Anolis sagrei: one gene and its partners. The protein of the gene in region 1 interacts with the protein of each later gene in a biochemical or structural test. Links are inferred from orthologs where the notes say so. Each region holds a gene or a part of one and is shown in the gene's direction. Other genes may lie near its edges.

The links.
Region 2: the proteins of SRF (region 1) and ELK1 form a complex in vitro, tested with the Homo sapiens proteins (2 studies listed by BioGRID). The link is inferred for Anolis sagrei from reciprocal best matches to the Homo sapiens genes SRF and ELK1.
Region 3: the proteins of SRF (region 1) and MYOG form a complex in vitro, tested with the Homo sapiens proteins (2 studies listed by BioGRID and IntAct). The link is inferred for Anolis sagrei from reciprocal best matches to the Homo sapiens genes SRF and MYOG.

The regions. Positions count from the first base shown.
Region 1 is NC_090021.1:25,542,557-25,550,156, forward strand, and holds the start of SRF (serum response factor), read left to right. Parts: upstream 1-4,560; 5' UTR 4,561-4,660; coding exon 4,661-5,167; intron 5,168-7,600. UniProt on the Homo sapiens protein: SRF is a transcription factor that binds to the serum response element (SRE), a short sequence of dyad symmetry located 300 bp to the 5' of the site of transcription initiation of some genes (such as FOS).
Region 2 is NC_090022.1:193,085,682-193,093,043, reverse strand, and holds the start of ELK1 (ETS domain-containing protein Elk-1), read left to right. Parts: upstream 1-4,313; 5' UTR 4,314-4,528; coding exon 4,529-4,574; intron 4,575-6,990; exon of another isoform or gene 6,991-7,068; intron 7,069-7,116; exon of another isoform or gene 7,117-7,271; intron 7,272-7,362. UniProt on the Homo sapiens protein: Transcription factor that binds to purine-rich DNA sequences. Forms a ternary complex with SRF and the ETS and SRF motifs of the serum response element (SRE) on the promoter region of immediate early genes such as FOS and IER2.
Region 3 is NC_090024.1:206,025,939-206,033,513, forward strand, and holds the start of MYOG (myogenin), read left to right. Parts: upstream 1-4,575; 5' UTR 4,576-4,720; coding exon 4,721-5,278; intron 5,279-7,095; coding exon 7,096-7,177; intron 7,178-7,575. UniProt on the Homo sapiens protein: Acts as a transcriptional activator that promotes transcription of muscle-specific target genes and plays a role in muscle differentiation, cell cycle exit and muscle atrophy.

The DNA.
Region 1 (7,600 bases):
GGTGGCATCCTTGAAGTCTGCTGGGATTTTCTCGGTCACCCACACTTTTTCTATGAGCTGGTGGAGTTGGTGTGTCAGCTCAGGTCCTCCCTCTTTGAAGATTTCAGCAGGGATCCCATCCGGTCCGCTGGCTTTGTTATTCTTCTGCTGGCTGATGGCATTGCTGACTTCTTCCAAACTAGGCGGTGCTGCAAGCTCATCCCTGGTTTGTTGTTGCGGGATTTGTGAGAGGACCTCTTCGGCCACATTGGAGCTGCGGTTCAGGAGGCTTTGGTAGTGTTCTTTCCAACGTAGTGCAATTGAGTTTTGGTCCTTCAGGAGTTTGGTTCCATCTGATGAGCGTAGAGGCTGTATGCCATGGTTTCTTGGTCCGTAGATGACCTTTGTGGCTTTGAAAAATCCTTGAGCATTATGGGTATCTGCCAGGTGTTGGATTTCTTCAGCCTTCTTTGTCCACCAGATGTTCTTGAGTTCTCTTGTCCTTCTTTGGACCTCGGCTTTTGCACTAGCGTAGATCTTTTTCTTAGCAGCACAGTTGATGTTTCTCTGCCATGTTTGGAAGGCTTTCCTTTTCTTGTCAATTAGCTGTTGGATCTCGATGTCATTTTCATCAAACCAGTCTTGATGTTTCTTGGCTTGGTATCCAATAGTTTCTTCGCAGGCTTGGATGATGGAGGTCTTCAGTTTGTTCCAATGTTCCTCAACATTTTCGGGGTGTTCTGTGGGTAGATGGTTCTTGAGTGCTGTTTGGAGATGGGCTCGTCTGGAGGGCTCCTGAAGGGCTTGGGTGTTCATTTTGCGCCTTGTCTTTCTGCCTTGGAGTCTGCGCTTGGGAGCGATCTTGATGGCCATCGAGGATCGGATTAGCCTGTGGTCAGTCCAGCAGTCGTCAGCACCTGTCATGGCTCTTGTGAGGAGCACGTCACGGCGGTCTCTGGCACGTGTGATTACATAGTCTAAGAGGTGCCAATGCTTTGACCGGGGGTGCTTCCATGATGTCTTGAACTTGTTTTTCTGGCGGAAGAGCGTGTTGGTGATGACAAGGTTGTGTTCCGCACATTTGGTGAGAAGCAGGATGCCATTCGGGTTGCTGTTTCCAACCCCGTCTTTTCCTATGGTTCCTGGCCACAGGTCGAAGTCTCGCCCGACTCTTGCATTGAAGTCCCCCAGGAGGATGATTTTGTCCTCCTTAGGTATCCCCGATAGGACGGTGTCCAGCTGACAGTAGAATTTCTCCTTGATGTCTTCGTCAGCATCTAGTGTTGGTGCATAGGCACTTATGATGGTTGCCCGTTGGTTTTTGGCAAGATTGATTCGGAGGGTTGAGAGACGTTCGTTGATGCCAGTGGGTGCTTCGGACAGATGTTTCACCAGATCATTTCTGATGGCAAAGCCGACTCCGTGCATTCTTTGGTCTTCTTCAGGCAGTCCCTTCCAGAAGAAGGTGTAGCCTCCTTTTTCTTCCTTCAGCTGTCCCTCCCCTGCTCTCCGGGTCTCCTGAAGGGCTGCTATGTCGATGTTGAAGCGTCCCAGCTCCCTTGCAATGATGGCAGTTCTGCGTTCGGGGCGTTCACTGCCACTGTTGTCCATCAGAGTCCGTACGTTCCACGTACCAAAGTTCATTTTTCTTTTTTGGCCGCGGGGTGGTGACCCCACTGGACGCGGCAGTCCAGTCAGGGATGAGAGAGGCAGACTATGTTTAGGGCACCTTTTCTAGCCCCCTCCCCATGTGGGGTGAGCAGAGTGGATCCTCAAAAGGGCTGCTCAGTCGCGGATACAGCTGCCGAACTACTCAACTGCCTCGGTCCTTGAGGTAGAACGACTGAGTCCATACCCACCGCCCATGTGCCAGTCTGTGACTAGGGGCTTCCAGATTTCACAGTCCTGCCCCCGTCGCCACTCGCTGATCGCCATGGGACTTTGGTTGGTTGGTTTTTATTTTCTTTGGAAGACGCCTGTGCGTGGGTTTTTTTAATGTGAACCCCCCCCCCCCTCTGAAATATAGGGCTGTGTGGAAAGGCCCCTACAATAAAGTTTTAGAGGTGCAACTTAGGCCCTTCGACACAGTTGTATAAAATCCCACATTGAACTGTATTATATAGCAGTGTGGACCCTGGGCCCTTCCACACAGCCCTTTATCCCAGGTTATCAAGGCAGGAAATTCCACAATATTTGAGTGTGGATTCGGATAACCCAGTTCAAAGCGGATATCGTGGGATTTTCAGCCTTGATATGGCTGTGTGGATGGGCCCCCAGAATATAAAGGCACCGGGATTGTGGCGCAGCTGGCTGAGTGTCAGCTGCATTAAGATCACTCTGACCAAAAGGTCATGGGTTCGAAGCCAGCTCGGGTTGGAGTGGGTTTCCAACCAATTGTGTAGCCCGTTGTCGACCTTTGCAACCCGAAAGACAGTTGCATCTGTCAAGTAGGAAAATTAGGTACCACCTTAAAGTGTGGGGAGGCTAAATTAACTAATTTATGAGGCCATAAAAAAAGACTTCAGCAAAGCATGCGGGGAATGCGGAAGTACTTCATCAGTGTCGCAGATGGACGATGAAAGCGACAGCTCCCTGGCAGCCAGAAAAAGTTAAATAGCCTCTGTCTATGTCTGTATATGTTGTATGTCAAATTGGCACTGAATGTTTGCCATATATGTGCACACTGTAATCCGCCCTGAGTCCCCTGCGGAGTGAGAAGGGCGGAATATAAAAGCTGTAATAAGTAAATAAATAAATAAAATCCCACAATATCTGCTTTGAACTGGGTTATCTGAGTCCACATTGCCATATAATTCAGTTCAAGGTGGGGTTTTATTCCGCTGTGTAGAAGGAGTCACAGCAGGCCCAGGCCAACTTGGACCTTCTCTTCAAGTGTTTTGAATTCCGAGTCCCAGCATTCCTAAGAGCCTCAGGCCCTTTCCTTTTCCATAAGCGGCTGAGGGGGAAAAGGAAGGGGCCTGAGGCTCTTAGGAATGCTAGGACTTGGGAGTCCAAAACACCTGGATGGCCCAAATTAACCCAGACCTGTGCCAAAGACTTCTCCTCTCTGCCCCAAATGTGAGCGCTTAAGCAGCTGGGGGGGGGGGGGGGGAGGAAGGGGCCTGAGGCTGTTAGGAATGCTGGGAGTTGGAGTCCAAAACACCTGGAAGGCCCAAATTTACCCAGACCGGTGCCACAAGTTTCTCCTCCTCTCTGCTCCAAATGGGAGCACTTAAACGGCTGAGGTGGAAAAGGGAAGGGCCTGAGGCTGTTAGGAATGCTGGGAGTTGGGAGTCCAAAACACCTGGAGGGAAGGCCCAAGTTGTCCCAGACTTGCGTCACAGGTTTCTCCTCCTCTTTGCCCCAAATGAGGAAGAACTTTCTGACTGTGAGAGCCATTCAGCAGTGGAACTCTCTGCCTCGGAGTGTGGTGGAGGCTCCCTATTTGGAAGCTTTTGAACAGAGGCTAGATGGCCATCTGTCAGGGGTGCTTTGAATGCAATATTCCTGCTTCTTGGCAGGGGGTTGGACTGGATGGCCCAGAGGTCTCTTCCAACTCTGATTCTATGAAATGTGGGCGCTAAGGGGTTGAGGGGGAAAAGGAAGGCGCCTGAGGCTGTTGGGAATTATGGGAGTTGGAGTCCAAAACACTTGGAGGGCCCATATTTACCTATACCGTTGTCACAGGCTTCTCCTCCTCTCTGCCCCAAATGTGAGCGCCTAAGTAGCAGAGGAGGGGGGAAGGAAAGGGCCTGAGGCTGTTAGGAATGCTGGGAGTTGGAGTCCACAACACCTGGATGGCCCAAATTAACCCAGACCTGTGCTAAAGACTTCTTCTCCTCTTTGCAGAAAATGTGATCGCTTAAGCAGCTGAGGGGGAAAAGGAGGAGGCTTGAGGCTGTTAGGAATTATGGGAGTTGGAGTCCAAAACACCTGGATGGCCCAAATTAACCCAGACCTTTGCCAAAGGCTTCTCTTCCTTTTTGCCCCAAATGTGAGCGCTTAGTGGTTGAGGGGGAAAAGGAAAGGACCTAAGGCTGTTAGGAATGCTGGGAGTTGGAGTCCACAATACCTGGAGGGAAGGCCCAAGTTGGCCCAGACTTCTGACACAGACTTCTCTTCCTCTTTGCCCCAAATGTGAGCGCTTAAGCAGCTGAGGGGGAAAAGGAGGAGGCTTGAGGCTGTTAGGAATTATCGGAGTTGGAGTCCAAAACACCTGGAGTGCCCAAGTTTGCCCACACCTTGTACCACAGGCTTGTCTCCCTCTGTGCCCGAAATGTGAGCGCTCTTCCCCTTTAAGAAGCAGCGCCCCCCGCTGACGTCACCGCGAAGGCCTTTTGGAATGTATGCAAATAGACCCCCTTTTCCTGCCTTCTCCCCTCCGGCCAACCGGAAGCCGAGCGGTCTCCTTTCCCCAGCCAATGGTTGCGCGGGAGCTTTGACGTAGCGGAGGGGCGGCGGCCAATGGCGTCCGAGCGGCGCCTCGCGCCATATAAGGAGCGCCCTCGCCATAAAAGGAGATCTCGACTGGCTTTATATGGGCTTTTGGAAGGAGGGAGGGAGGAGGGCAGGAAGGAAGGAGGGGGGGAGGAGGCCGGGGAGAGCGGAGGGGGCCGGGCTAGGCCGGGCCAGGCCAAGCCGGGGAGAGCCATGGCAGCGCCGGCCTCGTAGAAGGGAGAACATGTTGCCCAGCAAGGCCGGGAACGGGTCCGCCTCTGCCGCGCTGCCCCGGGGCCCGGGCATGGCCTTGCCGCGGCCGCCCTCCTCCTCCTCCTCGTCGGCCCCGCACCGCCTCCGAGGCCCCGGCAATGGGACCGGGCCGCGCTTCGACCGCGACGCCGTGCTGGGAGGCGCAGGCAGCGGCAGCGAGGGGGACTCCGACTCGGGCGAGGACGAGGAGCCGCTGGGCGACCGCCGAGGGGTGAAGCGGGCGCTCGGGGAGGTGGAGCTGGGTGCCGCGGCGGCGGGAGGAGTGGGGCAATCAGTGGCGGCGGGGCAGGAGGCGCCCTCCTCGGCTGCCCTGGCTGCGGGAGCCCCCGGAGGGGGAGGAGGGTACAGCGGCGCGGCCAGCGGGGCCAAGCCCGGCAAGAAGACCCGCGGGCGCGTCAAGATCAAGATGGAATTCATCGACAACAAGCTGCGCCGATACACCACCTTCAGCAAGAGGAAGACCGGCATCATGAAGAAGGTGAGTCCCCGCCGCTCAGGAAGGCACCCTCAAAGCCCTCCCGGCAGGTGGCCTCTCTACAGAACTAGAGTTGGAAGCCAAGGGGCAATTCAAAACCCTCCTGACAGATGGCCACTGTTTAAACAACTCCAGAGAAAGGAGGGGTTATGAAATCATACAGTTGGAAGGGACAGCCAAAGGCCAGCCCCACTCAAAACCCTCCTGACAGATGCCCAGCCAGCTCCAGTTCTATAAAAACCCGCCTGACAGATAGCCAGTTTAAACAACTCCAGAGAAAGGAGGGTTTATGAAAAAATACAGTTGGAAGGGACACCCAAAGGCCAACCCCACTCAAAACCCTCCTGACAGATGGCCAGCCAGCCCCTGTTCCATCAAAACCCTCCTGACAGATGGCCACTGTTTAAACAACTCCTGAAAAAGGAGGGTTTATAAAATCATAGAATTGGAAGGGACACACGAGGGCCAACCCCACTCAAAACCCTCCTGACAGATTGCAAGCCAGCTCCAGTTCTATCAAAACCCTCCTGACAGATGGCCAGCCAGCCTCTATTTTCGGAAGAGGGGAGTTGGAAGGGACACCTAAGGGCCATCCAGTCCAACTCCATTCAGGAAGCACTATCAAAGCCCTCCCTGCAGATGGCCACTCTGTTTAAACAACTCACAAGAAAGTGAGTTTATAAAATCAGAGTTGGAAGGGACACCCAACGGCCAACCCCACTCAAAACTCTCCTGACAGATGGCCACTGTTTAAACAACTCCAGAGAAAGGGGGTTTATAAAATCATAGAGTTGGAAGGGACACCCAACGGCCAACCCCACTCAAAACCCTCCTGACAGATGGTCAGCCAGCCCCTGTTCCACCATCAAAACCCTCCTGACAGATGGCCACTGTTTACAGAGAAGGAGGGTTTATGAAATCATAGGGTTGGAAGGGACAGCCAAGGGCCAACCCCACTCAAAACTCTCCTGACAGATGCCCAGCCAGCCTCTATTTTAGGAAGAGGGGAGTTGGAAGGGACATCCAAGGGCCATCCACTCCAACTCGATTCAGGAAGCACCATCAAAGCCCTCCCTGCAGATGGCCACTCTGTTTAAACAACTCACAAGAAAATGAGTTTATAAAATCATAGAGTTGGAGGGGACACCCAACGGCCAACCCCGCTCTAAACTCTCCTGACAGATGGCCAGCCAGCCCCTGTTCCATCAGAACGCTCCTGACAGATGGCCACTGTTTAAACAAGGCCAGAGAAAGGAGGGGTTATGAAATCATAGAATTGGAAGGGACACCCGAGGGCCAACCCCACTCAAAACCCTCCTGACAGATGGCCAGCCAGCCACTATTTTAGGAAGAGGGGGCTTCCTAAAATAATAGAGTTGGGACACCCAAGGGCCATCCAGTCAGGAAGCACCATCAAAGCCCTCCCTGCAGATGGCCACTCTGTTTAAACAACTCCCGAGAAAGTGAGTATATAAAATCATAAAGTTGGAAGGGACACCCAAAGGCCAACCCCACACAAAACTGTCTTGACAGATAGCCAGCCAGCCTCTGTTCCATCAAAACCCTCCTGACAGATAGCCAGTTTAAACAACTCCAGAGAAAGGAGGGTTTATGAAATCATACAGCTGGAAGGGGCACCCGAGGGCCAACCCCACTCAAAACCCTCCTGATAGATGGCCAGCCAGCCTCTGTTCCATCAAAACCCTCCTGACAGATAGCCAGTTTAAACAACTCCAGAGAAAGAAGGGTTTATGAAATCATACAGCTGGAAGGGGCACCCGAGGGCCAACCCCACTCAAAACCCTCCTGACAGATGGTCAGCCAGCCGCTATTTTAGGAAGAGGGGGGTTTCTAAAATAATAGAGTTGGAAGGCACACCTAAGGGCCATCCAGTCCAACTGCATTCAGGAAGGCACCATCAAAGCCCTCCCTGCAGATGGCCACTCTGTTTAAACAACTCACAAGAAAGTGAGTTTATAAAATCATAAAGTTGGAAGGGACACCCAAAGGCCAACCCCACTCAAAACCCTCCTGACAGATGGCCAGCCAGCCTCTGTTCCATCAAAACCCTCCTGATAGATGGCCACTGTTTAAACAACTTCCAAGAAAGCAAGTTTATAAAATCATAAGAGTTGGAAGGGACACCCAAAGGCCAACCCCACTCAAAACCCTCCTGACAGATGGCCAGCCAGCCTCTGTTCCATCAAAACCTTCCTGATAGATGGCCACTGTTTAAACAACTTCCAAGAAAGCAAGTTTATAAAATCATAAGAGTTGGAAGGGACACCCAAAGGCCAACCCTACTCAAAACCTTCCTGACAGATGGCCAGCCAGCCCCTGTTCCATCAAACCCCTCCTGAGAGATATCCACCCAGCCTCTATTTTAGGAAGATAATACTTGCTAAAATAATAGAACTGGCAGGGACACCCAAGGGC
Region 2 (7,362 bases), on another chromosome or scaffold:
TAGACTATTTTTGTCATTTACCTTAGTTGCTTAAATCTCTTGTGAAGCAAACATCACAACCTGTTAAATGATCTTACCCTTCCTAGACTTTTTTCATTTCTACCAATGTTCAGTGAAAAAGCAAAGGTATTGTATGTGCTACAATAAACTGTATAGATTGGAATTTGTCATCTTTTTTTTCTTATTCTGTTTAATGACATGTAAAGGGACATTCTGGTACTGAGCATATAGTCATGAAAGGTGGGGATAAGTCAAGTAAATGTACATCTTAGAATAGCCTTTCCAACTTGATGTTCACTGGAAGTGTGGAACTAAATCTCCTCATCTCCAGCCAACAGAAGTATTGGGACAAAGAAAATGGTCATCCATGCCAATTATCTTGAAGACAGGTTATATATATATATATATATTAAAAAAACCCACTAAAATGTTGCTAAATAATGTAGGGAAAACACTACTATTGCTAGAGTCAGTGACCAGGCAGGTTTAGAGAAAATAAGTCCAAATATTTGATTAATATTTTAAATAAGACAACATTATAGAATGTGCCATATGGGGCTGCTGCATTTATGTTTGTCAAATTTTATTATATTTCCTGATTTTTTTTTAAATTAAGTTGATTTTACAGCTACAACTTGAAGAGCAGCACTCAATGTGTTATAATAAAATAAGAAAAAGCAAAAAGTAAATAATTCAATAGAAAAAGCACTAACAAGTTATCATTTCTTAAGAAGTTAAACCTATGCTTCGTTCAACTATGGCATTTCTTCCTTGTCCCCCATGTAGACTACAGTATAACACTAAGTATCTAGAACCAATGTTTAATCATTAAACACAACATAGCTAACAAGATCAAATAGCTCCTAGTCCCACACACTTCAAATTCCTTTTCCAAGATACGTGGAGAGATGATTTCAGTGCATTCTGTGTCTTTAAAAGAGATTGCCTTTATTAGCAGAACATCTGTTTATTTCATAACGTAATCAGTGGTATTACCTGCACTTATCTTGGGGCCACTCCCTTTGAATTCAGTGATGAAAAGTTTGCTTTAAAATGCAGTTTTGTCATCAAAGAAAATGTGGGTAACTTCTGTTAGCAATATGTTTTCTTCCTGTGAAGGATTTATTGTTTTCAAGCCTGGAATTAAAAAAAATGAAGTGAGTTTATGGAAAGTGCATTACCCTCACTAGTAACAGGCTACTAAATTAGTCCAGAACTGGAAGAAAACCCTATAATGTTTCCTTATGGACTTGAATATTTCTAACCACCTTCAAACTGTCCATTAAAATACACACCAAATGAGATGTAATCCTGGTCATCACCCACCATACTTTGTAAACGCAGAACTTAGTTTCTAGAAATAAGGCACTGGAACTCAAATGTTCCTTCAAATAACACTTAGCCCCCCAACTGGTATGACCAGTGCTCAGGGATGGCAGAGGCTGCAGTCCAGCAACATCTGAAAGATCTTAGGGTTCTTCTACACAGTCATATAATCCAGAATATCAAGGCAGATATTCCACATTATCTACTTTGAACTGAATTATCTGAGCCTACACTGCCAGATAATCCAGTTCAAAGCAAATAGCCTGGGTTTCTTCTACACAACTAAGTATCTAGTTGTGTAGAAGGGGCCTTAGAGCCCTTCCAGACAGGCCCTATATCCCAGGATCTGATCTCAGGTTTTCTGTTTATCCCAGATTATTTTGCAGTATGGACTCATATAATATAGTTTAAAGCAGAAAATCTGGGATCCGATCCTGGGATATAAGAGCCTGTCTGGAAGGGTCCTTAGTTTCTCCGCTTCTGGAACTTCATTATTGAAATGCTTTAATAAATAATAATAAAACTTTATTTAATACCCCAATGGGGACTCAGGGCGGCTTACATGAGGCCAAGCCCAACAACATATTACAATAAAGTGAAACCAAAACACAACAACACGGTAAAATGCATACAACATATGAGTACAAAAAACGATAAAACAAAATCATACACAATGAAATAAAATAAAATAACAAAGAGTGGGATGCATCTGCAAGATAAAAACTAAGATACTAAAAATACTAAAATCAGGATGAGACAGGGATGGAGCAGATTGTTTCTGAGGGAGAAACTCATAAAGGAACTGGCTCATAAATATAGACCTTTCTATAGGTGGGGAAATATACTCTGGGGACAAAACCGTTGAGGGGGAGCAACTGTGTATGATAATATGGCTACTCTCCAAAAGTGCATCGGAAAAGCCAGGTTTTGAGATCCCTCTTGAAAATTTCTAAGGTGGGGGCCTTCCTAATTTCACCAGGCAATGAGTTCCAGAGTTGGGGGGCCACAGAGGAGAAGGCTCTCTCCCTTGTGCTTACAAGATGAGCCTGTGATAATGGCAAGGGTGAAAGGAGAGCCTCCTCCGAGGATCTAAGAGCTCAGGCAGGATCCTTTAACTCAATTGTACTCCTTGATAGGTTTTAGGTTTGGGAATTGACATGGCAGCCACTAACAGCCCAGATGTCATTTCTGGTTTATAGTGACTTTGGCCCCTTCCACACAGCCAAATAAAATCCCACAGTCATGGGGTTTTCTGGGGCTGAGGGTGCATGACTTGCCTCAGGAGCAGGATTTGAACCATTGTCTTGCAGCCATTACAAATGCTGATTTAGGAGCATGGCCTGAACCCTTATCTCAGGGGTGTCAACCTCATTTTTACTGAGGGCTACATAAATCTTACGGCTGCCTTCAAAGGGTGGCTTGTAATTGTAAGACTATATAAATGTAACTATGTTGCCCTGGCACTGAAAGCTTCATGAGCCACATAAAATTAAGTGGTGGGCTAGGTTTGGCCTGCAGGCCTTGCGTTTGACATGTGCGCCCTATCTGAACACACACCAGGAATACGAGCTTGGTTTTATGTTTAGTGCTCAGAGCAAAGGTTTTTTTTTTTTTTTCGTGTCAGGAGCGACTTGAGAAACTGCAAGTTGCTTCTGGTGTGAGAGGATTGGCAAGGACGTTGCCCAGGGGATGCCCGGATGATTTGATGTTTTTATCATCCTTGTGGGAGGCTTCTCTCATGTCCCCGCATGAGGAGCTGGAGCTGATAGAGGGAGCTCATCTACCTCTCCGCAGATTCAAACCTGCGACCTGTCGGTTTTCAGTCCTGCTGGCACAGGGGTTTAACCCACTGCGCTTGATGTTTTTATCATCCTTGTGGGAGGCTTCTCTCATGTTCCCGCATGAGGAGCTGGAGCTGATAGAGGGAGCTCATCCGCCTCTCCCCAGATTCGAACCTGCGACCTATTGGTCTTCAGTCCTGCCGGCACAGGGGTTTAACCCACTGCGCTTGATGTTTTTATCATCCTTGTGGAAGGCTTCTCTCATGTCCCCGCATGAGGAGCTGGAGCTGATAGAGGGAGCTCATCCGCCCCTCCCCAGATTTGAACCTGCGACCTGTCGGTCTTCAGTACTGCCGGCACAGGGGTTTAACCCACTGCGCCAATGGGGGCTCCAATTCAAGAGCTAGGCCGGGCCTATAATACAGCAGCTTGCCTAGGAGTCCCTCAGCTAAGGCTCCAACCCACTCACTGGTTGCTCAGCCTTTGGTGCCCTTTATGGATGGGAAGTGTGGCGCCCCCTACAGGGCCAAAGCCTTCCCCGCCTTGGTGAGGCCTAGTTCCCATAGTAACAGGGGGCGGGGCCTGGGAGGTGTGGAGCCCCTCGACGCTGCGTGTCCCGGGGGGGGGGAGCAGGGGTTACCATGGCAGCAGCAGCAGCCGCCTCCTCCACCTCTCCCCCGCCTTCTCTTTCATCTCCTCCATCTTGCCCTGCGTCGCCGTGGCAACCGCGGGGGCGCGCGGAGGGCGGCGAGGGGGCGAGAGCTGGGCCCTTGGTTCCGCACCCACACCTCTGCCCCGCTCCCCTCGCGCGGCCTGTGGGCCCTCCCACGAGTCTTGAGCTGGATGGCCCTCTGCTGGGAGTGCTTTGATTGGGTCTTCCCGCCTGGCTGGGCGGGATGGGCTCGGGCTGGGTGGCCCTTGGGGTCACTCCACGTTCTTTGATTCCTCCTCCTCCTCCCATCCAGTCAAAGGAGGAGGAGGAGGCGTCGTCGTGGTAGTTGGGCCCGCCTCTCGGCCTGCTCCATGTGACGGGCGCCGTCAGCGCGGCATCTCCTCCGAAGAGGTCACCGGCGGCAGGAAGGAGGAGGAGGAGGAGGAGGAGGAGAGGAGGAGGAAGAAGAAGAAGGCGAAGAGGAGGAGGAGGAGAGGGCCCGCCCCCTCTTTCTCTCTCTCTCTCTCCCTCCCCACACCTTCCCCATTCCCCCCCCCCCCCCAACCCACCCCGCCTCCTGCCAGAGGACAGCAGCTGGGAGGAAGGAGCTGTCCAGAGAGGGCGCAGGCACTGGGAAGAAAGCTCTCCCAGCCTCCCATCCCAAAGTGGCCGCCAAGAGGAGGAAGAGGAGGAGGAGGAGGGAGAGGACCCCACAAAGCCAGCCCCCAGAGACCGGAAGCGGAGGAGCTGGGGGGGGCCCGCCCGCCCCATGGAGCCCCCCGGGGCTGCTGCCACTGCTGCTGCCATGCTGACAGGTGAGGATGTAGAGGGAGGGAGGGAAGGAGGGACCCCAAAGGCTGCTTCCCTCCCTCCCTCCCACAGTCCTGAATCCCGCCTCCACTCCTGCCTTTTTTGATGTGGGACAGGCAGGGAAACATGTCGCCACCTAAGGAAAGAAAACCCCTTGGATCAAAAGCGGATTTCACTTTGAGAGGTCTCACCCAGGGCTAATAGAGGAGCGCCTTTCAGGGTGGCAGGCTGTCAGATCTTGGGGATCCACGCCAGAGTGGGCTGTGAACATATTTACAGGCTGTGCCCTGCCCTGGGGTCCAAAGAGGAGAACTAAGTACACAATCACAGGATAATCTGGTGGGAAGGGACCACATGGGCCATCCAGTCCAACCCCCGCTCTGCAGGAAATAGAATAATAGAGTAATAGAATAATAGAGCTGGAGGAGACCTCATGGGCCATCTAGTCTAACCCCCTGTCACACAGGAAAAGTACAATAATGGAATAATAGAGTTGGAGGAGACCGCATGGGCCATCTAGTCCAACCCCCCTGTCTTACAGGAAAGGTACAATCATAGAATAATAGAGTTGGAAGGGATACATGGGCCATCTAGTCCAACCCCCTGCCATGCAGGAAAAGTACAATCATAGAATAATAGAGCTGGAGGAGACCACATGGGCCATCTAGTCTAACCCCAGTCATACAGGAAAAGCACAATCATAGAATAATAGAGGTGGAGGAGACCTCATGGGCCATCTAGTCCAACCCCCCTCATCATACAGGAAAAGTACAATAATAGAATAATAGAGTTGGAAGAGACCTCATGGGCCATCCAGTCCAACCCCCCTGCTTTGGGAGACCACATGGGCCATCTAGTCCAACCCCCTTTCATGCAGGAAAAGCACAATAATAGAATAATAGAGTTGGAAGAGACCACATGGGCCATCTAGTCTAACCCCTGTCATACAGGAAAAGTACAATAATAGAATAATAGAGTTGGAAGAGACCTCATGGGCCATCCAGTCCACCCCCTCCCCCATCATACATGAAAAGTGCAATAATAGAATAATAGAGTTGGAAGAGACTACATGAGCCATCCAGTCCAACCCCCTGCCATGCAAAAAAAGCACAAAGCAACCCCAAGAGATGGCCATCCAGCTTCTGTTTAAAAGCCTCCACACACTCAGAGGCAATGAGTTCCACTGTTGAACAGCTCTTACAGTCAGGAAGTTCTTAATGTTCAGGTGGTAGACTCTCAGTTCATTGGCTCCCATGGGGATTGGTAAATGATGGAAAAATGTAGTTTCTGGTTGCTTGAATAGTTCGTATGAAAAATAGGCCTAGCTATATCCCATACTATCCCATACTATAAACCAAGCATGGGCAAACTTAAGCTCTCCAGGTGTTTTGGACTTCAATTCCCATAATTCCTAGTAGCCAGTAGGCTGTTAGGAATTTGGGAATTGAAGTCCAAAACACCCGGAGGGCCAAAGTTTGCCCATGGCTACTATACATTCTGTATTGACTTGATGTTAATCTTGAAATACAGTAATTAAAAGCAAATGAAGACCAATGCAGATGAATTTAACTTAATGTAATACAGTTTTACTGTATTATATACATGCATTCTAATTTTTATTTAAAGTAGGATTTCTTTGATTATTTTTTTTGCTGGTTGCTTGAGTGTTCCAATTGCTTGAGTTACAGTTAACTGAGGGTAATGTAGATTCCAGAAGAGGGGATGTAGTTTGACATCTGAATCCTTCCATGATCTGCCTCATCATTAGGGATTCTTTGACTTCACAAACCCAGAGAGGACACTGGATTTTTCCTAGCCCTTACCTATCCTCTAGGTCACTCCCTCTTCTGTCTTGGGTGATGGGAACTCTCCCCAATTTTACCACCTGTCCTGCTCCCACTTTACCCCATGGCCCCCATTTTCTGCGTTAACAGCCAGATTAGCATTGGATGGGATTTTGTATTAAATCCAGTGCCAGAAAATCCTTTCTTTAGGCCAAATCCAGAGATTCACTGGGGGGAGGGGGGAGGAGAGGAGTGAGTGGGCGAATAAGCCTGTTCTTCATTCAATCCCTGCAGCTCTTCTCTTCCAGATTTGGGGCAGGCCTTTTTCCCAGAGCTAGAATCAACAAACTGCTGGGCACTCTCCCTGCCTCAAAGACTTTCTTTGGGGAATAGGTATAGTTAGGACAGGGCCCCTCATTATGACGGGGCATCCTATCAGTTTATATTCAAGGCTTATTTTGAAAGGGATGGGGGTGAAGCTAGGAGAGAAATGGGATTCATATTTTGGCAGGTCATAGCAAGACTCAGAACATGTATAGAGTCAAGTAACGTTAACTGCTGCCCTGGCAACACTGGAATAAGAGCAAAGACCTTCCAGGGCAAAGGAATGACTTGTTTCTATGTGCTTCCATTTTAGATGTTAACTACTGTTTGAGGCCTATGAGCAGGATATGAGGAGTAATAGATGACATAAATTTCCAATTATTTTTTCTAAGTACCATCTTATTCTTCCCTCTTAGTTATGCTTTGGTCTGCTGCATGTATCCATAAGTCATGCTTCTCACTTGTTCCTTGCATGGGTTGTACTTCTAGTGTGTGGCCTCAGCATGCTTGAGTCCCCAACCTAGGGATGTCAAACTCATTTTCACCGAGGACTGCATCTGCCTTATGGTTACCTTCAAAGGGCCTTTTGTAATGGTAAAACTGTATTATTATTTTTTTCATATACTTGTATCCCGCCCTTCTCACCCCCAAGGGGGGACTCAGGGAGGCCTCACAGCAAACACCA
Region 3 (7,575 bases), on another chromosome or scaffold:
ATGTACTTGGTGTGGATGAGTTGGATGTAAAAGCCTCTTAGGAGAATTGTACTCATGTACATTGATGGCACTATGTAAATAAATAAGGAGGAACCTCACTGCAATCTATTTCTGGCAATATAAATGCTGCTGCAAAACAGAAGTAGCCACAAATGTTCAGAGAGGCCAGCTGCAGAAAAACTATAGAACCAAGGAGCCAAAAATGTCTTCGAATGCTCTCTGAATGACAGTGAAAACATTTTCAATTTGCTGTTTGAAAGCTAGCACCTCAAAGAAGCGGAGAGAGTTCCATATATTATGTGCCACCAATGAAAAGACACTGATCTTTCTTCATCCATTGAGTCTTGTCATTTCAAGAAATAAATAAAAAAGGAAAAGAAAGGTGACATTCTCTTCCGCAAGGCCCAAAATTCTTGAAAGGAGGATTTCTAAAATAGATGGTTTTGCACAAGAGAGAACAGCCAAGGTCTCTTCCTGATCTTAAGTTCTTTGTTATACTCCTATCTTTCTCTTGTTCCAAAACACTCAGAGGGATTTTCATAACCATAAGAGTTGCATCTATATTGCAGTATTTCATTTTCCAAGTGCTCAGCTTACTTTTCATCTGCCACTTAAGGGTAACATGTATTGTAAGAATATTTTCACAGATTCTATCTAATGTTGGCATTTTTCCTTATGCATTTACTTACTAGATCTGTCATTATGTCTTTGATAGCAAGATGATTTGCAGAAATTAAACACACAAGACTTTCTTGCTGACTTTCTTCCCATACTAGGAATATATTACCTGCCTAAACTACTGCTTATGAAACTACTGTTTAAAAGGCACAAGAATGTGAGGAAGGGGGCCTGATAATTCTGTTTTCTCTTAGTATAACACAGGCATAGGCAATCTTCTGCCCTCCAGGTGTTTTGGACCTCAACTCTCACAATTCCTGACAGCTGGTCCAAAATACCTGGAAAGCCCAAATTTGCCCATGCCTGGTATAACCAGTGGGTCCAAACAAAAGAAGTTGTCCACCAATTACAGCATGGCGTATTGCACAATATACCTTTCAAATTAGGTTGGTTCTAAACAATTCTTACCAAGAAAACTCTGTGATACGTTCTCTTAAGTAGCTGTCAAAAATGACTTGAAAGCACGCAACAATTGCTTGCATTTAAAAAAACCTATGAAATGTGGGGTGAGGTCACCATATCTCAACCTGAAGGCACACACACACACACACACACACACAAGCAAGAAATAAATGCAGAACGTACAGCAAAATTGCTTTCAAACAAACCACCTAATGTGAAACACACCATCCACAAAAAAGATTGAAAGTTTGGCTATTTCCAAGTGGATGTTTCCAAATGTTTTGGACTTAAATGCCAATCACCCCTAGCCAGTATGGTTAACAAAAATGCTTCCTAGTCGATGGGAATTGTAGTCTAGAAGATTTGAAGGGCAACATTTTTATTTATTTATTTATTTATTTACTCACTCAATTTTTATACCACCTTCCTCACCCTTGGGAGGACTCAAGGAAGTTTTCAACATTGGAAGGTAAATGACACTGAATGCTGCAACTTGATTCGCTTGTGATCAACTAATTGGATAGATCACCACCATAAAAGCAGACATTTATAAACATTAGCCATTATTAGCTAACACACCACCAAGATAAAATGGGGAGGGGATTATTAAATTCCATAAGCATCACCCTGTGACTCCTCCAATTGATGGATTTTGCCTGTCAATAATGAGGTACAGTGAATCGTGGTGAGGAGGCAAACAGAATGTGCACAATGTCATGTGATAAGAATGGCTTCAGGGCTGGTTTGCCTACATTCTGTGATCTCAGATTTACTGTTCTATACAATTATTCCATGATTCTGGTCCTCTGATGCAGCTACTACATGACATTTTGATATATGTAAGCTAGTATGAGCTAGAATGATGCATTCTAGCATCTGATATTTGTTCTTCTTGTGACACATATGTATGCAGGGCGATCAAAAGTTCTTAGGTTCATTACAGCTAAAATTTAAAGGAGGCATAATACATTCTCAAACCAATGGTATTTGTGGCCTGTTTAAAATTAAACATAAAATCCCAGTATTGACTGGCAGCTCAGTTATGAACTTCCAAAAAAGGCCCAAGCTTCTCTGATGAATCACAGGCTGGTTTGATTTCTAACTGTGCAGGGGAAAACTTGAAACATGCTAGAAATCTGCCCAAAGTCCCTCCCCATTAAGACTGTGGGCTGAGAAATGTGAGTAAAATAGAAAGTCCCTCCTCGGTGGGCGATTTTGAAAGGGAAAATATTACCACATTTTGGGGGGCTGAAATTCTTTCCATTGACCAGTCCCTTTGCTGGCATTTCGTCTGGAACGAAGCTGTCAGGATGGAAGTAGGTAGACTCTTAGAAAGCTGGTTCTGTGCACATTGAGTCCTATTGAGCTTATCAAAGTTACTTTTTTTTTTACTTTAGCTCCTTCAAAGGTTAGGAGATTCTAAGAGTTGTAATCCAAAAAAGTAACTTTTCCAAGCTATGATACTAGAAGCTTTTCCAATGAAGAGGTGGGAAAGCTTCAGTCCATTCTAGTTTGAAGATGGGATGATAAAAGCAGTCTATGTGGAAGAAAAATTATGAATAAATAACTCGACATATTTACACTCTTATAACTTTACACAGTGTTTAACAGGCACTGTGAATATCTATCTTCAGATATGCAAAATTTGGAAAGCTCACCTTTTTGGACTACAAGTCACTCATCAACCATGATCACTGTCCATGGTAACTTTTCCATGTGCTGCAGGTATGACACCTTCTCAAGTTTTGTTTCTATTATCTGTCTTTTAAAAGGAAGTTATCATGATTTGCAAGATAATTTTAGGCATTAAAAGCTAAGCATAGCAATTGCTGCCAATGCAGGCAACCATATAATGTTGACTTATTGTTCTTACCTCTATCCTATCCTTATATATGAAAACTTGTCTTTGAAAAAACATAAAAGCTGTGCTGGAAGACATCTCATCTAGCCTTCTCTTCTCACTGTGGCCAACCAATTGACTGTGTGAAGTGAGATGTGAATGCAGTGGCAGCCTCCCATTTACGTTCCCCAGCAACTGGTGGTTAGAGACATCGTGTCTGTGATGCTGGAGGCATCTGTTGCCATCACAGGTACTAGTCACTGGCAACCTTCCTTTCTGTTGTTCTAAACATTCAACAGCAGTTGCAAAGCAAACCTGTGTTCTTTATAGCAGTGGTTCTCAACCTGTGGGTCCCCAGGTGTTTTGGCCACAACTCCCAGAAATACCACTTGAAGGCAAAAACATCTGGGGACACACAGGTTGAGAACATTGCTTTATACTATCAGGAAATAATAATGCTAAATAATCATTTCCATGTTTTTGCTCTCTAGTTGTCCTTTTTTGATTATTTATTATTGTGGTTATTTATTATTATTTATTATTTATCATTCAAGCTTCTCAGAGCTATTGCTCCTTAGTATGAGAGGAAATACATCTATTGTGTGTATGGCCATTCCCCACTTTAAAAGTCTAGCAATTAAATAAAAAATATTATTGTTCTACCAGGTGTTATCAACCGGAGATGTATAGCTGTGATTTTTTGTATCCCTTTTTTCCTCCCTATAGATTTTTTTTCTTTGCTACATCTGTATCTCTCCCTTTTTCAACATAACCAACACATCTGGAGGACACTGAGCTGAGAAAGGCTAATGTAGATGAATGCTTCTAGGGCACTTATATGAGAACAGACTGTCCTGGAGATGATTTGGTTTCAGACCATTCCGTGCTATAAAAATGAAATCAGCATCTTGGATTGAGCCCTGAATTTATCTGGCAACTAATGGTATTGAATAAAAAAAAACCACATGGTTGTGTCATCTAACCCTTGCAAGAATGCTGGTATAGCTGTAGGGTGGCTTGCTGGCATTTTTTAATAATACACTAGTCTAGAGCACATTACAGTAATCTAGCTAGAAATGATTGGAAGTAGAATTCGTTTTGCCTAAGAGTCCTACTTTTTATGGACTGAAAGTACTTTTAACAGCCTCATGGATGGCAATAATCAAAAGGTGAAACTATTCCATTACTGAGCTGTAACATCAGGAAAGTTTCACCTGTTGACTTTCTGCTTTTTACAAAATGTTCGAGGCACTGAATTTCTTAAGAGTCCACAAAGAAGGGGTGTTAAATTTAAGCACGCCACCTAGGCCAAAGTAGAGCATGAGGTCTTGGAAAGTGGAGTGATTCTTCCTTGCTTGAGGAGAACAAATGGACCTGCCTTTGTGTCTATGCCTGTGCCTTGCTCCTTTCCAGAAAGGGATGGATGGCTTCGAAGCTGGCAGGGAGCAGTAATTGAAAGGAGCAGATGAGTCAGGAATGCTGCACAGAGCTGCCAGCTAAGGGAGCTGACTGATCATCAATATCATTGTAGGAGAGCAAGTGAAAATAATCCAATGGGGCTGTTGTTTGAGAGGCGGCTGGACTTCTCTGGAGCACATGCCAGATCCTCCATCCACTCCCCCCTCCGCCCACCCCACTTTAGCCACAGCACTGCCCCAAGCAGCAGACTAATCCCCACAGGGAGAGTACATGAAATCAGATGGACAAGTTTTGATGCGAAGCAGCAGCTTAGGGCAAGCTCAGGTTTCCTGGAGGTTTGCTATATTTATCTCTGTGATTTAATGCCCGCACAGGGTTTAAATGCCACCAAGCAGTTGGTGTGAGAGGCCTGCGTTTCACTCCCCAACACACGCTCTGCCTTGCCAGACGCTCACCATGGAACTGCTAGAGACCAACCCATACTTTTTCACAGACCAACGGTTTTATGATGGGGAGAACTACCTGAGCCCTCGCTTACATGGCTATGAACAGACAGCCTACCAAGACAGAGCAGCTGTGAGCCTGTGCTCTGATGGCAGGGTTGGGGTTGAGGAGAAGACCTCCTCAGTCCTGCCAGACCACAGCCCTGGACAGTGCCTGCCTTGGGCATGCAAAGTATGCAAGAGGAAAAGTGTCTCCATCGACCGGCGCCGTGCTGCCACCCTGAGGGAAAAGCGCCGGCTGAAAAAAGTCAACGAGGCCTTTGAAGCTCTGAAACGGAGCACTTTACTCAACCCAAATCAGCGGCTTCCCAAGGTGGAGATTCTGCGCAGTGCCATCCAATACATTGAACGCTTACAAGCTCTGCTCAGTACCCTCAACCAACAGGAGCGGGACCAGCGGGAACTACACTACTGTAACAACAACAACCAGCCAGTGGTAAGTGCCAGGGGAAGGGGACAGGTCATCACACAGTCATCCAAGAGCGCAGCAAACAGCTACTGCATCAGCCTTTCCTAGAGAATCAGTAGCTTGACCGCCTTCAACAATATATTCCCAAGTCCAAACTCTCTAGCTTCTATTATTGGCTGCCACTCTGCCTATTCTCCAACAGTCATATATAAGCAAAGTCATATAAAGGTATTCGTAGTTTTCTGTAGATGTTACTACACTGTAAAAGGATAGCAGAAGTGCACTATGGTCTCCAGATATATTTGACTAACATCCCCATCAGTCCCAGGCAACATGATCAATGGTTTAGAAATTATGAGCATTATAGTTCAAAATCTGTAATGTATAGGGTACTCCATGGTGGGTGGGCTGGGAAGAACCATGTCTCCCAGTGTATTCTGGTAATGTATGTGGCTTAAGGCGACTGAAAGGGAATTGAACATTTTCAGAATTTGATATGGCTGGAGAATTATTTTCTTTCTACACAAATATTCCACCATTTAAAACTATACATTTCAGTTTTCATGTCCTTTATAGCTTTCATATTCACAGCTGACACAGGTAGAGGGTATACTTCCAGAAATATATGAATATTACTATATTGTTTTTCTCTATAAATGCAGCAGTGACTGTCTTGGTCTGTTCCTTTTAAATTAGTTGTGCATAATATAGTGGAATTGTGATAGTATTAACCTGCCTAATAAGGGTATTGCATAATGAAGAATTTTGGAATAGATGTATCCTTCCTTATCTATACTGCAGTTTATCAAAGGTGGGCATGAGTCACAGGACAAACTGGCATCACCCCTATAACCCAAGTGACTAGTGGATGGGATTTTATTCCAACAGATGGTACCTCAGGAAATGAATTCTAATACACATGCCAATGAGGAAGGACTTGGACGCTGGACACCTGTTGAGTTCAAATGGGTTACTGGGTATCTCCATTTAAAGATTTACAAGAGCATTTGGGTACAAGCCTTCAGTCCTAAGGGACAAAATACTACAAGATTGAATTCTGGGCTTCTCCTATAAGGCTCTCCAATATGTTTACAGCTCCTCCTTTCAAAGCATCCTTTCGGATTACTACTCTCTTATAATTGCTGAACAAAATGAGTAAGACCATTGTGGAACAGTATGTATTGTGAAAGGGCTCTAGTGGCAGTAGACATTTTGACTAGCCATTGCTATCTCATGTTGTAAACTTGCCCTCCGAGACTCTTGGAGCAGGTAGAAAACCTCTCACCTCCTATCAGTAGGATAAATTTGATTTGGGTTGTGTTTAGTTTCAAAGAATAGTATGGCTTTCCCATTTTCTTTCCAAATATCTTATTCTGAAATAAGTCCTCACATTTTGTAGGCTGAATGTTCATATACTGCCCAAAACAAGCTTGGGAATGTTCATCCAGCCTGGTTTGAGAACAGAGGAAAGTTATGAACAGCTGCAGGCTGTATTCTCTGTTCTTTGTCTGCTTCTCAATCTGTCTACTACATGTTCACCTAGGCTGTTGGCATTGGATTCAATTTCACAGGAGATCCCTGTAATGTACATTTGCAGCACTTTATAGACTCAGAAGACAGCAGCAAACCACAGCCATATCAGAAATTGTTTGTCTCTGTGTTGTTGTTGCTGTTTTCGATTCATTGAAGGTGAAAGACCCTTTAATTGGTGAAGCCGAGATTGCAATGATCATGCTGGTTGAGGAATGCTGAGAGTTCTGGTCTAAACAGAATCACCTTTCCCCAAATCTAATGCAGTCAAAGTGTGAAACCAGTACTAAAGATCTCCCATTTTCTCATTCAAGGTGGGTAGTGACCATGGACCCAGCAGCACTTCATGCAGTCCAGAATGGAGCACCCAGTTGGAGTTCAACACTCATCCAGGAGGTAAGACCATATTGTCTTCTGGGAACACAAAGGTCTAACCCTTTTTGCTCTTTAGAGGTAAGGACCATTCTGGTAGGATCTACACTGCTCTATATCCCAGGATCTGATCCCAAATTATCTGTTTATCCTATATTAACTAGACTCATATAATCCAGTTCAAAGCAGATAATCTGGGATCAGATCCTGGGATATAGAGCAGTGTAGATCCAGCTTCTATTAATCCTAAGTTCTCCTGCTCCGCTCCATCTTTAAAATGCATGTATGTGTAGAAGTATTTTACCATGATCTGTTCTAGAACGGGGGAAAACACAAATAGTATTGGGATATCTGTACTTAGAAGCAACTGCAAAGCTGGTAAAAGCAGGTCTGGACTCTAGAAAGTTACTTCTGGCCATAGA